Drosophila melanogaster: one gene and its partner. The protein of the gene in region 1 purifies or fractionates together with the protein of each later gene. This does not show direct contact. Each region holds a gene or a part of one and is shown on either strand. Other genes may lie near its edges.

The links.
Region 2: the proteins of woc (region 1) and row purify together in Drosophila melanogaster (affinity purification with western blotting; 3 studies listed by BioGRID, with this or other methods). This does not show direct contact.

The regions. Positions count from the first base shown.
Region 1 is NT_033777.3:27,258,035-27,265,994, forward strand, and holds the start of woc (without children), read right to left. Parts: upstream 6,022-7,960; 5' UTR 5,743-6,021; exon of another isoform or gene 5,701-5,742; intron 5,418-5,700; 5' UTR 5,359-5,417; coding exon 4,521-5,358; intron 4,454-4,520; coding exon 4,193-4,453; intron 4,127-4,192; coding exon 4,082-4,126; intron 3,915-4,081; exon of another isoform or gene 3,910-3,914; coding exon 2,057-3,909; exon of another isoform or gene 2,016-2,056; intron 1,952-2,015; exon of another isoform or gene 1,847-1,951; coding exon of another isoform or gene 1,823-1,846; intron 1,764-1,822; coding exon 688-1,763; intron 625-687; coding exon 239-624; intron 175-238; coding exon 49-174; intron 1-48. Other genes in the region: CG14262 (uncharacterized protein), read right to left, coding at 6,381-6,641, 6,695-7,372; CG14260 (uncharacterized protein), read left to right, coding at 7,453-7,914.
Region 2 is NT_033778.4:15,207,614-15,215,219, reverse strand, and holds the start of row (relative of woc), read left to right. Parts: upstream 1-1,585; 5' UTR 1,586-1,730; coding exon 1,731-2,613; intron 2,614-2,664; coding exon 2,665-3,494; intron 3,495-3,552; coding exon 3,553-3,643; coding exon of another isoform or gene 3,644-3,648; exon of another isoform or gene 3,649-3,975; intron 3,976-4,151; coding exon 4,152-4,975; intron 4,976-5,040; coding exon 5,041-5,408; intron 5,409-5,433; coding exon of another isoform or gene 5,434-7,227; intron 7,228-7,420; coding exon 7,421-7,606. Other genes in the region: CG8093 (uncharacterized protein), read left to right, coding at 1-888; Ir51b (ionotropic receptor 51b), read right to left, coding at 5,434-7,227.

The DNA.
Region 1 (7,960 bases):
AGATGTGGTTACGCTGGAACTGACTCATTTCAAGTTGATTCAACTTACGCGAATCGTTGTAAAGCACGGAGAACTTGCGCGCCACCTCGTCAAGGCACTCGGTAAACCGCTCGTAGTACGGATCATAGAATATGTTGTCTATGCGTCCATTCACATACAGATATTGCTGAATGCCTGAAGGAAGAGATTCCAATAAAATCAAATGGTACATGTGTAAACCTGGGGAGTAACTACATACCCAACACAAGGTAGTAGATGGTGTCCGGCGCGTATTCCGTCCCGTTGGGCTTGCGCACTTCCTTGACGAAGAGGCAAAGCGAGTAGTTCAACTCGTCGGCGGTCATTTGAAGCAGCTCCGTCTTGAAGGGCCGCCGGCGCATCGAGCTCTTCTCGATGTCCGCGTTCTTCGTCATCACCCACTGCTTCCATGCGTTCACCCCGAAGGTGTACTTCAGGAACATTTGGGCGTCGGGCTTCTCCTGCGGCTGCTGTGCCTGCTGCGACTGCTGCTGCAGGGCCGAGTGATCCATCTCGCCGCCGCGCTGCCTTTTCACCGGCGAGCGGCTGTTGCGGTTGGGTGGGTCCATGACGACGCCTACGCCGCGCTTGCGTCCACGTGCGGTTCTGAAAGTCATCACATTTAAGTACTTGAGTATTGATCTCTGATTGCCATCTCTCTTAACTCACCGCTGCGTGGCATCAAGCATGTGATGCTGCTGATCTAGATGATGTACTCCCATTTGACCCATTCCGTCGTGACCCATCGGCGACTGGCTGCTGATCGTATTCGCCGTCATCGACGTTTCCAGATCCACCGTCGAGGTCTGGTGATGATTGTCGTAGTCGCCTGTGGCCATCTTGAGGGCTATCTGCAGCATATCGTCGCCGTAGGGATTATGTCCGGCTCCGCTAACGTCCACCACTTGCTGTTGTTGCTGCTGTTGGGCGACGGACTCGAGGCTGTTCTGGTACTGCAGAGCTACCAGGCCCGGATCCGGCTTGATCTCGTTGTCCGAATCGGAGTCCGATTCGTGCTTCTCCTCTGCCACCATCTCGGCCATCATAAGCAACTCCGCCTCCAGTGGATCCTCTGGCATCTTGTCCTGTATCTTCTTGATCTCCTTAAGTATGCCTTGCGCGGTGTTGCGCGTGGTGGGTATGAAAATAGGCACCGGGATTGGCAGCGGAATGGGCACTGGTACGGGGAACGGAGCCGAGTACATGTACATGGGTTGCGGCACGAAGATGGGCACCGGAACCGGGATGAGCACCTTGTTGGAGTAGTCTTTCTCCGTCTGGGTGGCGCAATCCCGCACATCCGGACTACACTGCTCGCCCTGGGTCACCGTTAAGGGCTTACAGCTTATGTTCACGTTTCGCACAGCCTTGGGATATGGTGGCACTGTGATGATCTTGGTCTCCGTTACCGTAGCCGGCCCGAAATCCATAGTCGTGGTAGTATTTCGCCTGACCGGAATGCCCATGTGGGAGCTGCCACCTGACATCGTGGGCGATGGTGAACGCGCCGAGTAGTCTACAGCGTGCTTGCGTGGCCTTCCTCGCTGTGCTGGCGGATGGACACCCGGCATGGACAGCGGCGGTGATGAGGTTCCCGATTCCCGTGGACGTCCACGCTTGCGACGAACCGTCAGATTGCCGATCCGGGCTTCGGTTTCGCCGCTGGCGAGCGATTGCACCGTGGATATAACCGGTAGCATGGTGCCGGAGCCGGATTTCTTGCCTCCAACGCCACCTTTTCCAGTCTGCAATTATCGGGGACATTAATTATATGCAACTTAGGTATGATACTTAATTAATTTACGTTAATTCCCATTTTGGTGGACATTGAATGAAATTAGGATTGCAATTGAAACTTGAATTGAAAGCCAAATTGAAGTAAATGTATTAATAATTAAGCGAGCAGGTAAAAAAAATTGCAAATACTTCGTTTACGTTCAATATTTTAACACTTATTGCATGGCTATCATTCGATTGTAAAAACTTAAAAAAAACCCAGTGTGTACCCTTTTAGTTTATTATTTAGTTTTTGACTCACGTGGGAGAGCTTCAGTTTGACACGTTTGGGCAGGCCCGTGGGAAATGGTGCCGCATTCTTGTTGCCTCGATTGGATTGCTGCTGGGACTTGGAGCTGCCGGCGCTACTGGGCGGTAGGTCGCTGTCCAGCGTGAGGGGAGCGCGGGCGAACTGATTCTGGAACTGCATCACACACTGGTAGGTGCAAAAGTTGCGCATGGAAGCATCCGACATGGTCAAATGATACTGTGGCGTATTGAAGTTGGAACAATTGTCGCATTTGGTAACCGCCCTGGCGGAGATGTTGCAGCTAACGCCGTGCATGGTCAGGCAGTTGATGGAGCAGGTGAGCGTCTCCTGATCGTGCGGCCCACCAATCTGATAGATCATGTCAAAGTTGTACTTCTTCACCTTGCACCACTGGCAGGAGACGATGTGCCTGTTGACGATGATGTACACATTTATGCAGACCCGCGAGCAGAAGACCTTCGGTGACTGCTGTTCGTTGTAGATGGTGTAGGACTCGGCGCTCCGCCGCTCAAAGTATTTGGAGCACATGGCACACGGATCAGCGTTCACGTTGCTCACAAACTTAAAGGCGGAGAAGCAGGGATTCGAGCAGAAGTAGTGCTCTCTGTCCTCCAGCAGCATCTCCACCCTCACTGGCTTCTGGTTGTTGCACACACCGCAGACATCGGTGCGTAGTTTTCGTCGGGGATTGCACATGCTTTCGTAGCGACGGAGGCAGGATTGCGAACAGAAGTCCTTGAACTGATCCTTGTCACCCACCGGGGCAAGGAAGCCCTCCTGCCCGCCGCTGATGTCCTTCTGGCAGCAGGAGCACGTCTTCAGACCCTTCTTAAAGGTGTTAAGGCAGCCGGCGCAGCAGAACTGCCGCACATCGAAACCGAATCGCACGCAGTACTTGCCAAGCGCTATGGAGCTCACCTCCTGCTTGCAGGTCTCGCAGGTGGAGCCAATGGTGCGCTGATAGCTGCCCAGGCACACCTCATTGCAGAAGTCCATGGTCTCCCACATGAGCTGCTTCTCGTCCGTATTGATATCCGCCTCGCAGTCGGCGCAGCGCCTTCGGAAGCTTTCGATCCTGTCCAGGCGCGCCGTCTCTGCCTCCTCCACCGTCCTGGCCACCACGCTGCCGTCGGTCCGTTTGGTGGGCGAATTTTGCGGTGGCTGCAGCGTTGTGGCGCCAATGTTGCGCACTCGAATCGAGTGCCGCTTCAGCTTGAATTTATCTGGCTCCTCAGCGTTGAGCAGATTGAAGCAATCGTCATTGCAAATGTAGAAGCAGTCCTGGTCCTGTTTAATGAAATATTTGCACCGCGTCTTATCCTTGCACTGCAGGCAATCTTGCGTGTTGGCTGGAGTAGCTTCCTCCTCGGCATCTCCGCCCTCGCCATCGGCGCTAGCCTCCGCTTCGGCGGCGCCTTCTTCTCGAACCACTTCCTCGACCAGGAACTTCTTGCGGCGTACAAAGTACTTGCCGGGTTGATCTTCTAGCAGGGCGTCGACACAGGCGGTATCGCAGATGTACTCGAACCCACTGGGAGCAGCAGGCTTTTGCCGAGCCTCCTCCTCCTCCCCCTCCTCAGCGTTCTCCTCTGCCTTATCGTTTTCCTTCTCCTTATCCATTTCTTCTGACTCCTCTGGACTCCTGTACCGAAACCCACAATTCTTTTCATCGCCACACTGTTTGCACTTCTGAACGCTGCCAACGATCCAACTAATGATGATTTTCGGCGTGGAACCAGGTTCACCCGCTCCGGCACTGGAGGATTCCTCGGCTGTGGGCTCGTCGGGATCGGGAACATCGCCACCGGCCTCCTCTTCGTTAGCTGCTGCAGCTACTCCATCTGCTGGCAAAAAAAGGGGATTTACGTTATATACATTTTAATAAGCAATCGTTCTGTATGCTAGGAGCCAATTTTGTAATAACAAACTAAATTTAAAGCAAGAATTAAATGAATAGAATGCAGTCGAATGAAGCAGTTAGTGAGTTTTGCCCAGGAATTAACCCAATCTGCTCACCTTCTGCAATGCCTGTTGCCGCCGACTTAGCTCCAGCTTGAGCATCTGCAGGCAAAATGGATAGAGTAGATGTGGGATAGGGCATTTCAAGTCTTAGTGTGGAGCACTTACCAGTTGGCGTGGTTGGAGATACGTCGGTGGCGTCAACGGCAGCTGCACTGTCGTCTTCTGGATCGGCGGCGGCATCTGCCGGGGACTTTCTATCGTTATCGGGTGTCTTGGCTTGCCGCTCCTCGGCTTCCTCCTCTTCGGCGGCCTTCTCGGCATTCTCGCGGGCCAGTTCCTTCTCAGCTTCAGTCACTTCCGTTTCTTGATCATCGGGAATAAGGCAAACATCTGATTCCTCTGGCTCCAAAACATTTTCCACTGTGTCTATAATGTAAATAGTTCATTCATTTAGTCTTTTATAAACATGCATCAAAGAAGTACTAAGACTTACCATCGCCATGTTCGGCCTCACCAGTTTCCTCGGCATTTTCATCCACCTGCTCCGATTCCGCATCTCCTTCTGCATCCGGATCATCTTCATCGGCGGCCGCATCTTTCTCCCGTTCATCAGGATCTTGGCCATTTTCCTGCTCCTCTAAGCTTGTGTCCACCTCATCTCGGCCCTCCGGTGGCTCTGCATCCTCCGCCTGGTGTGAATCTGCGCCCACGGACTGCATATCTACATCATCTGTCGCCTCTCGATCCAGAGCTGCGTCGTCTTCTGCTTCCTGCTCAGCTTCACCTTCTGCATCCACCTCGCCTTCATCCACATCCATTGCTTCGGGTGAAGCGGGACCGCCGTCCACAGCATCTGCTTCGGCGGCCGCTGCCTCCACCTCTTCCGCAGTGGCCTGGAGGGCATCAGTCTCCTCCTCCGCCTCCTCGGGCTCTTCCTGTGGATCTACCCTCACGGCTTCTGTTTGTGGCTGCTCATCCTCACCGCCTTGCGGCTCCTCGTTGGGCGTTGGCTCCTCGGCGGGCTCCTCCGCATCCACGGGATCAGCTGGTGTACTAGCCGCCTTATCCCGCGACTGGTTATCATCGGCGTCTAATGATCCCTCGGAGATCTGTTCGAAGTCGTCATCCGCCTCCTTGGAAGGAGGCGGTTTGCTTTCCTGCGCAGCTGCATCCTCCGCTGGCGGCGAGGCGGGCGTATCCAGAGTTTCACTGGCCGCCGGAGCAGTCTGTTGTCGATCCTGATCCTGTTGTTCCTCCGACCTGGGGGTGGCCGACTCCGGTCGCGCATTGGAATCGGCGCCGAACGAGTCCAAACTGGATATCTCCTCCATTTCGCTGCTTGATTTTTTAACCGACTTTCGCTGTACGTTTGTTTATATAGACATGAAAACTGCAACAAAAGGAAAACAAACAACAAATGGTTAGGGCTCGTCTATCGATAACATTCGCGGCGCGGCGGACTATCGGCTGGCCAGGGCCCCACACCATTGCCGCCTAAAATGTGTACACACACACGCACAGGCACACCGACGCACACACACACACACTGAGCCCACGGTACAGTGCACGAAAAAACAAAACATGCGCCTCCAGAGAACAAAAAAAGTGGGGAAAAAAGGAGGAGTGTGTCTGTATGCGCCGCTCTGCCAGGCAATTAATATTACTGCACTTGCATTATCTTTTTTGGCCGCGTTGCATGGGCGGCTTTTCCGTACTTTTTTTGCTGCCTTGCCGTACGGTACTTCGATAATCCGCAATCCGAGCGCCGACTTTTTTTTTCGGACAGCACGAGTTTGTTGTGGTGAGCGCGTCTCCACAGGCGAATTAACTGCCTTTCACCGCTGCGCGTGCGGGCACATCATTAACGGTCGGTTCACGGTACGCGCAAAACTTTTCATCAATTACCAAACACCTTTTTGCACTGTGCAATTTCTCGCTTTCTGGCCACTGTGTGAATTTTCGGCTTTATGCGAGTAAAATGGCGCACTAGTGTACCAAATGCGGCCCTCGCATAACGCGTTCGCTTCTTGGCTGGTATCTGCCGGAAAATACCGAAAATGGCGCATAAGAAAATACCGGCGTGAGTGGTGCAACCGGTTGGCAGCACTGCTCGTTTATCTTTTTGAAAAATGCTTCTAAAGTTTGGATCGCTTTTGATCAATAGGAAATTATTGAAAACTACAACTTAAATATAGACTGTCTTTCATCTAAGCTTCCCCTTAGATGAGCTTCCAGTTTGCCATATGCAAAAGATACCCAATACAATGCTAATGAGAACTGATATTTTATTGGCTTATTTTTTTTAAATTTTTGGGTTTTATGCGCGAAGCTTTTGGGAATTCCAAGTAGTTTTCTAGTTTTGATTGATGAATCCCTCGGCGTCCAGAAGAACATTGGGGAAATACTTGATAATTTTGGTGAAGTGCGGGAATTTTTGCGTGTTGGCGAATGTAATCTCATTGATCTCCTGATACTGCTTTAAAATCGTGATGAGTTCATCGGGAGGCACTGCATCCGCCACCAGCCAGTGCTGGATGGCGTAGTTTAGAGCATAGACCGGGAGTTTCATTAAACTGGGTTCGTGGATCAATGATGCGCCTTCCTCTATGATTTTCTAAAGGATAACTAACTAAATTAAGGCTCCATTTTATATTCCAATCTACTAACCTCGATGCAAACGCGCTCCACATCGATGATGTTATGCCGGAATGCTAGGTCGAAGGCAGGAAAGATGCCATCCAGAGGCAATTCCTGCTCCTTTAGTTTCTCAGCAAAGGAGCGAAGGAGCTCCGGCATGTTGTACGCGCAGGACAGGATGAACATATCCCCCACCAGCTTCAGCTGGACCAGCGGCGAGGTCACCTCGAAGGTGTATATGAACTCCAGGAAGATCTCCACGCTCTCGGGCGAAACCCCATTGATCTGGAGTACGCCGTTCCAGTCCTTGTTCTGGTACACGTCCTGCTCCAGTTTGTCGGAGGCAGTGGCCAGGAAGATCCGATGGCAGCCAAATTTCTTGTAGCACACACTGACCGCCGGCTCATCGGATTGGGGGCAGTTGCTCAGGACGTGCACCTGGCAATCGGCATCGGCTCCACTGCGAAAGTATTCCAGTCTGCGGTTTCTACTCGTAGCGCGTTTGGACCCATCACTCGGAGAACCCAATGGTAAATTCTCCTCAACATCCGATGCAGCTGTGGTTCTGGGCACAACGAGTTCCGGCCTCAAGTTCTGGATCCCTCCCTGGTCGTTCGCCTCACCCTCCTCCTCCTCCTCCAGGTCGGACCACCGATTGTTGCTTCCCAGGTGGGCTTTGCCGGCGGCCTCCTTCTCAGAGTCTGACATTCCTGCCAGGGAAACCCTAATTTCGAATTCCAAATTTTGTGCTATGTGAGAGCAAAGCCTCCAAAAAATCCCCAGTCACTATGAACTGCAAGCTACGCCGCCTGGACCTGTTGCGGAATGGCCAAAAGTCGGACTGCGAGCTCCATGTCTCGCAACCGGACAAGTTGAAGGAGGGCAAGCGTTGTCCATGCATTTTCCGCTGCCACCAGGTGATGCTCATCTCCGCCTCCGCGGAGTTCGAGCGCCTGATCAGGGATCCCGAGTTCCAGAAGAACAAGCGAGTGATCAGCGTGGACGACGCCTCTCCCACCGCCTACGAGGCGTTGCTCCTCTACATCTACACGTACGAGGTGTGCAATGCGGTGACCATCGACATGTGCGGTGACCTCATGCTGCTGGCCGAGCGCTACGAGATGCTGGACTTCATCGACTGCTACATCGACAAGCTGGCCCACCAGGAGTGGCCCATGGAGGTGGTTCTGCAGGTCTTCCACCTGGCCAGCGAGCACCACCATCCGGCACTGATGGATCTCGTGGCGAAAGTATGAATTTCCGCACTTTTATCTCGCTTAATCCCCATACCATTCC
Region 2 (7,606 bases), on another chromosome or scaffold:
GCGGGCTACGATGTGTGGATGGGTAATGCCAGAGGCAACACCTACTCCAAAAGACACGCCAGCAAGTCGCCGCTGCTGCAGCCCTTCTGGAATTTTGAGTGGCACGATATCGGAATCTATGATCTGCCCGCTATGATGGATTACGTCCTTTACTGGACAAATGTGACTCAACTTACGTATGTGGGTCACTCTCAAGGAACCACATCCTTTTTTGTGCTCAACTCTATGATTCCGCGCTTCAAGAGTCGCATTCGATCTGCTCATTTGCTCGCTCCTGTGGCCTGGATGGAGCATATGGAGAGTCCTTTGGCCACGGTCGGTGGACCACTGCTTGGTCAGCCCAATGCCTTCGTCGAGCTCTTCGGCAGCGCCGAATTTTTGCCAAATACACAGCTAATGAACCTGTTCGGGGCTCTCCTCTGCAGCGATGAGGCCATTTCACAGTTCATGTGCACCAACACCCTATTCCTGCTGGGCGGCTGGAACTCGCCATATATCAACGAGACCCTGCTCCCAGATATTATGGCCACCACTCCGGCGGGATGCTCAGTAAATCAGATCTTCCACTACCTGCAGGAGTACAATTCCGGATACTTCCGGCAATTCGACTACGGATCTACGCGCAACAAGAAGGAGTACAGCAGCAAGACCCCGCCGGAGTACGATGTGGAGGGCATCGATGTGCCCACCTATCTCTATTACTCTGACAACGACTACTTTGCTAGTCTGATTGACGTGGATCGCCTTAGGTATACCATGAACCCGAGCGCCCTGAAAAGCGCATATCGCATGCCGGAAGAAAAGTGGAATCATATCGACTTTCTGTGGGGACTGAATATTAAAGAAATTCTTTATGATCGGGTAATTAACGACATAAATAATGCATAAATGTGCGCTGGAAATAAAAAAAAGCGACATACGTTTTTGTGACATTGTGATAAAAAAAGTTCCATTGGTCACCACTTCAACGGGGGCTTTTGGTAGCTAATGAACCGATAATATACGAGTGGTCATAAATTCAAATTGATTTGGTGACACTTCACGGTGACTGAACAACGCAAAACGAACTAGCCTGCTAACATTTTTTGCCTTATAAGTGCACCTGCTAAATACAATGGATTATATTAAGTGTAATATAATAAAATATAAGCTGTACTAGATATTTTTATTTTATTTGCTGATTGTGTACTGTTGAGAAATATTTTGCACTCTTAGTTTGAATTGCGCGCCAACTTTCAGGGATGAAGCATCTTGTAAAATCATCGATAGACTTTCAGCGTTTTTTGTGGTAGTCGATAGTCCGCAACATACTGATCATAGTAAAAAATATCTGTAATGTATATTTAGGTGGGAAAATATATTCATGGCATTTATTTATACGTTAAATCAATTCTTGTTATGATATTCCTTAATTGTAAAAAAATTTTATTCTTGTTCTTATTAGCAGAATATAAAATTGACCAGTTTACGTTAACACTTTTTTTTAAATACAAAAATTTGATTTATATTTGTTTATATTTTAACGAACCGATGTGTGGTGCACCACTGTGCGTGTGTCACGACAATACCCAAGCCGATATTATCGATGTTTTCATCGATGTTATTTACTCGAGCAGGTACATCCACGCAAGGAAAGCTAATTCGAGCGAAAAAAAATTTACTTAGCTCTTAATATTTTTAAAAACAACGCCCTCGCTGGGCCAGTGGTCGGTTAACTAGTTAGCTGTAAGATGACGCGCGTAACGAGAAGTGAAATCTCCCTGGACATGGAGTTCTGGGTGGAGGAGCTGTCGCCGGCACAATTGGCGTACTACGAGAAGATTACTAACGAGCACAACGCGGTGAAGGGTGCACTAAAGAACGCGGTTAGCGCCAACGAGGGCAAGGAGCTGTTTAACGGCCAGGTGTTCCAGGCCTACTCCTTTAAGGGCAAAGTGCTGCAGGAGCTCAAGGAGGCTACGCTGCCCAAAAAACCACCCAAGCCGACGGACTCTCCCTCAACACCCGCCGCCCAAAGCGGTGGCACAGGGCGGGGTCGTGGCCGCCCACCACGACAACCATCCAACATCGCCTACCTGGAGTCCTCCGATGAGGGAGACGACGATATGCCGCTGGCCAAGCGACTGGCGCTGTCTGCAGGCAAAAAAGCAGTGGCCGTGGCCAATGCATCTTCCTCGTTCACCCCGAAATCCAGTAAGAAGGCTGCATCCGCTGCTAGTGGAGGATCTTCTTCACCGGTACCTAAGAGCAGTGGAAAACTATTTAAGGAATCCAAACCGGACATCGAATCGCCGCCGAAGAACTACCGCCCCGCCGAGGTTAATTCGGTGGGCGGTCTGGTGGTGGGCAGCACCGACGAAAGCAAGGATAGCAAAGACGGCAAGGATGGCAAGGATAACAAGATGCAAGGAAAGACATATCCATCTCTGGTGGTGCTAGCAAAGCCTTTTCTCAAGATCAAAGACATGGCTGCCACCCGCAGCAAGCTGGACTCGAAGGTTAAGCTGGTGCTCATGCTTACGCCCAATAAATTCTGCGAGTGGCTGCTCCAGGAGGGATTGCTACGCGCTCAACAGCATTGCATAAACCATCGCAACAACGAGCTCAAATTGGGTAAGAGATATATGATCAACTGAATTCGTTTATTAATGTATTTATATTTAGGAATTTATTCGGATGTGACCAAGTTTCCCTACACTGGTGGCTATGTGTGGATCAGCGAATGTTGCCCCTACCGCTTCGTCTCCGTGTTCAACAATTCCATTTTCGAAGGAGCTCAGCACCCACCCACATTCCTGTTGAAGTTAATTTACCACTGGGCTTGCCAGACCAGTATTCAAAATGTGGTGCAGTGGGTTAAGGTGGACAGTGTTTATATCAAAGGAATCTACACCTGGCTTAGAGCCATTTGCACTTTGGCAGTGCATCAAAAATGCAAGAAGCTGGGCGGTCCCGGCAAGTTTGTGGAGGTGGGTGTTATTTCCCTAGGAACCACATCCCAAGATGGCTCCCAGCGACAAGTGAAAGTTGAGGTTCTGGGCGTCTATGATTATGCGGAGAAGTCCATCCGACTGCGGGCTGTAGAGCCAATCACCGATGGTGATCGTAACTACAAAAAGCGATTCCAGGCCATTCTTGAGCCACTGTCGCGCTGGGTGCACAAGGACAGCACCATTTGTATAGACTTGACTGTCGACAAGATCACCCTCTTCAGCATGGGATTCAAAAATATTGTCCAAGCAGCTGCCACTGACAACACAGCCAAGCACAACAACTCAGCGGTAATGGAATATTTGCGACGGATTGTGCCGCGCATGTTCCAGAACACCCTATCGTTGCTATCTCGCCAGATGATTCAACAATTCCTCGACGAGTTGGTATGGCGAGAGTCCTTTGGTACATATGCCTTGCAGGCATTCAACAATATCATAATACACATTGCCGAGCAGACAAGAGTAACCACCAATGAGACAATCACTCAGCGTCTGTATCAGGTAAGCAGAATCGAAAAATTTTTATTAGCGATTAGCCTTTAATAGCTCTTTCGTTTAGGTGGCAACCAATCCGTTCAAGGACTGGAGTATTTTGCCGGCCAACTACAAGGAGACACCTGCCAATGCTGCTCCCAAGCGCCTCAAGAAACGTTAGTACTATCGTACTTTTGTAGCAAGTTTTTATTTAGGCCGTGAATAGAATAGTGCGTTATGATAATCTGTTAAGTGCCTGCGTTTCTCACTCCAAACTGAAATGTTTTCGTTTTGTTTGATTAGTTTTGGTTAATCGAACCCAACAGCTGAGCTCAGGTCCACTTATTGTGTTATGTGAATTGTGAATTTATATAATCTATATAGGTGAAATGTATCATTGATATATTCACATATGTACAATTTAAGCATTACTTCCTGACATTTCTCGTGTCTAATTATTTTAAAACAACCCCATTAGAGAAACCATAAATAAACTTGCAAGAAATTTAATAACTGTTTTTATTTGATTTCCTTTTTCATTTGGAGTGATAAAACGCAAGAAAGAATTTACTAATTAAATTGATTGGACCCATTCCACCAGATTCAACAAAAATGGACAAATATGTAATGTTTAAGTTTGTATGTTGAGATTACATCTTTTTAAGTTAACATCTTCAATTGCAGCTATCAACGATGCTGACTACGTTGTTTCTAACAAGATTCCCAAGAAGGAAAAGGATCGTGATATAGCATCATCTGGAGTCAAGCGCGGCCGTCCACCGAATGCATTAGGCACCCCACCACCTCAATTGCCAATTAAAAAGGGTCCAGGTCGGCCGCCGGGCAGTACCAACCAGACAAAAGGAGACAGAGCAACGACCTCGTCATCTAAATCACTGTCTAAATCTCTGATAGCTAAAGGCCTTGGTAAAAAACCGAAAGAAAAAGATGAAAAGATTCCAATGGTCATTAAGAAAGAAGAGGATGATCTAAGGGGCTTGGAGGAGCTGTACTATGGAATAAGTGATGGTACGGACGAGTACCACGAGATCTTTCCATATAGCACACCCCGTACGGTTCACAACGAACTGGCCAAGACCGTGGAGTGTCCAATCTGCCTGAACGGCGACTCCTTCGATTCCAATGAGAAACTCCAAACGCATTTAGTATCGCATATTTCGCCAGAGGGTAAGCAGCACCAGTTCCAGTGCCTTTTTTGCTTGGAGAAGCATCCCACCGAGTCGGTTTTGGCCAAACACAACCAGATCATGCATCCAACTGAGACAAAAACGGAGGGTTCACCCTCGTACTACTGCCTAATATGCCAGCAGCGTCACAATTCCCTGCATCTGTTGACGGCTCATTTGCAGAAGGTCCACAGCACCCTGGAACTACCATATTGGTGTCACTCCTGCGGCTATCGATCATCTTCGCACCGCGATTTGGTCAGGCATTTTTATGACGACCACAAGCATCAAAACTTTTTACAGTGCCCCTATTGCTTGGATGTAAGTAGCTGTCATGGTAAAGTAATCTTGTAAAGTTCTCTCTATTAAAAACTGATTCTTTTTAGATTTTCTACTTCTCAAAGCTTGGCGTCGTTAACCAGCTGCGCATAGAACATTACTTCATGCATTTGGACGAGCACATCAACAAGCGTGATCCCTCGCTGCGCTGCCAGAAATGCTCGCTATCCTTCCTCGAGAAGGGGGATCTAAAGCAGCACGCAGTGCAGCATCATGTGAGCATGACTAAGACCAATAGACCGGTGCGTCTCTTACTCAACAACTCGATGTTGATACCACCGCCAAAGATTCGCACCCATCACCGCGAGCAGCCGCCGTTCTCCACCTACAAGCGGCCAGTATTCTTTGCTTTTCTGGAGGGTAAGACCTGTGCCGAGTGCAACACCGATTTCGCCAGCGAGGAGACACATTACACGTAAGTTCAAAAATATTTTATTTACCTAAGCAATAAATCGCCATGGATAAAGGTGCCAGTATTCACAAGAGAAAACCAGAGCTGACAGTATCCAACCAATTCCCAAGACACACCAGCCCAGTCTCAAAGTATCCACATCGATACTTTGATAGCCCAGGACGTTATCTACAAACCTAACGTATCCAGCACGCATGGCATCGTTAAAGTCGGAAACTACCCAGTGATTCAGCAGTCCAGTATCCTGAATCTTCAATATGAAATGGTTAAGGGATGTCTCCAAGTGGCTGTCAACGCGCATTGGATAGCCAATATGTGGAGATCCCAAGCAAGCAGATGAAAAGCGAAAAATCGGCTTAAAGGCATATTGCTGTTGCATGGCAAAAAACTGCCAACGTTCTTCTGTAAAAGGGTACGCGAAGCTGCGATTAAAACTCAGCAAAGCGGACACCTGTTCACTGGCATTTACAGGCACCAAAAGCCGAGATACTTTTTCCACTAATCGAGGTTCAACATGGCGCAGAAATGTGTTAATTTCATACTCCTTGACGAGCACCCTTTGCTGCTGGTGGACAAGCTGATCCATGCTATTTACTTGCTCGCCCACTACTATGGTTGTGAAGAAGCTGTCCAACTCAATGTTGTACCAACTTGTGGACATGAATCCCAGGACTGAAAGTTGTAGGAAAATAATCAAATGGCGCCATGTTGGTCTGTAAATTGTTATAGGGGGGCTGATAAAAAGTATCTTGCTTATCGCATCTAGAAAATTCAATCCCAAGCGTTGCGGCCAAGAACTTTTATTGAGTTTCGGGCTTATGCAATAGAGAATTCCAGTGATGTAGAAAACTGCGAATAACAGAATATACCAGCTGTACAATTGGAATGGTCGCAATAGGTACATGTGCCTTGGAATCTCATTTCTCATGGGCACAATCAAGCAGTTTGGATATATTAGTAAGGGGTAACTCTTGGTTGCTGTTGGGGGTGTGAAAACGTACGGGTGCAAAGAGATTTCCAATTGACCGTCTATAATCAACTGCACAATGTGGTTCATATTCACACTAGTTGTTGGGTCTAGATTCTCATCTGGATTGGTCAAACGCAGCGAGGCATTATAGTGATCCAAATATTCCACGAATGTGCGATATGCGTATCCCAGCACCTTTCTGCTCTTCGTTAATGGATCGTGCACATGAAACACTCTCGGAATATCATTTTCCGCCGGAGTGGATACTACATATCCATGGAAATTCCTTGCTGCATGTGGAAATAGCGGTTCCGTATGAATATCGAGTTTGAAAAAACGCATCGCCGGATACGGAGTGTAGGAATAAAGCTGATCCCTTTGCAGGACAAGAACGTTGAGGAATTGATATTGCCATAAGGCGTTGAATATTGATTTAATAGCACCTTGCGAGCCACTTCTTTGATTACGCAGAATGATGATCAATCGAATGCGACGGAGTTTTCGTAGATTTCTATCCAGAGTAAGCCACATGATATCATGTTTATCATGACAAAAGAACAAAGCTATGCCATTGTATCTAGTGATTTTAAAATGACCAAGGGGTCTTATATGTTCAGGTTGGAGAAATAAATTCATTGTCAAGCTAGTAACTCCCATTGTTTGATGGAGCCAAATAATCAAGTCGTTGAGGTCGCCTCCTTGCGTATTATGTCCGACGAATATTGGTGTATTTATCCACGGCTCCCGTGTAGAGATGAGACTTAGAACGGATTTCAACAATGTCACATTGTAAGCAGCGTTTGTTAGCGCCAGTAATAAAATAACGACCAATAAGGTTAACACTTTGCACATGGTGGTTGATTCAATTGTGACAAGCCAGAACCGCGGGTTGAGGTTTATAAGTCAGCAGCTAATTGATTTAATAGTGGCTGATTGATCTCTTGGGGAAAACTCATTAGAATGTGTGAGGCAATAATTTGTAATAAAAGGTTTTGGCGCTCTACGCACTCATTTAATCACTTTTTTATATTAAATCTTTTCCCAGTGGTTGGCTACACTGCGTTAAGTGCAATTATCAGACATGTTGCGAGCGAGCGCAATTCCGTCATGGCGTGGAATGTAATGGAAACTTTGTGGACGCCATGGAAGTGAATATGCCACAGGAGATGCACTGCATCTGCGGCTTTGCCACCGGCAACGGCAACAAGATGGCTCAGCACTTGGCAAATTG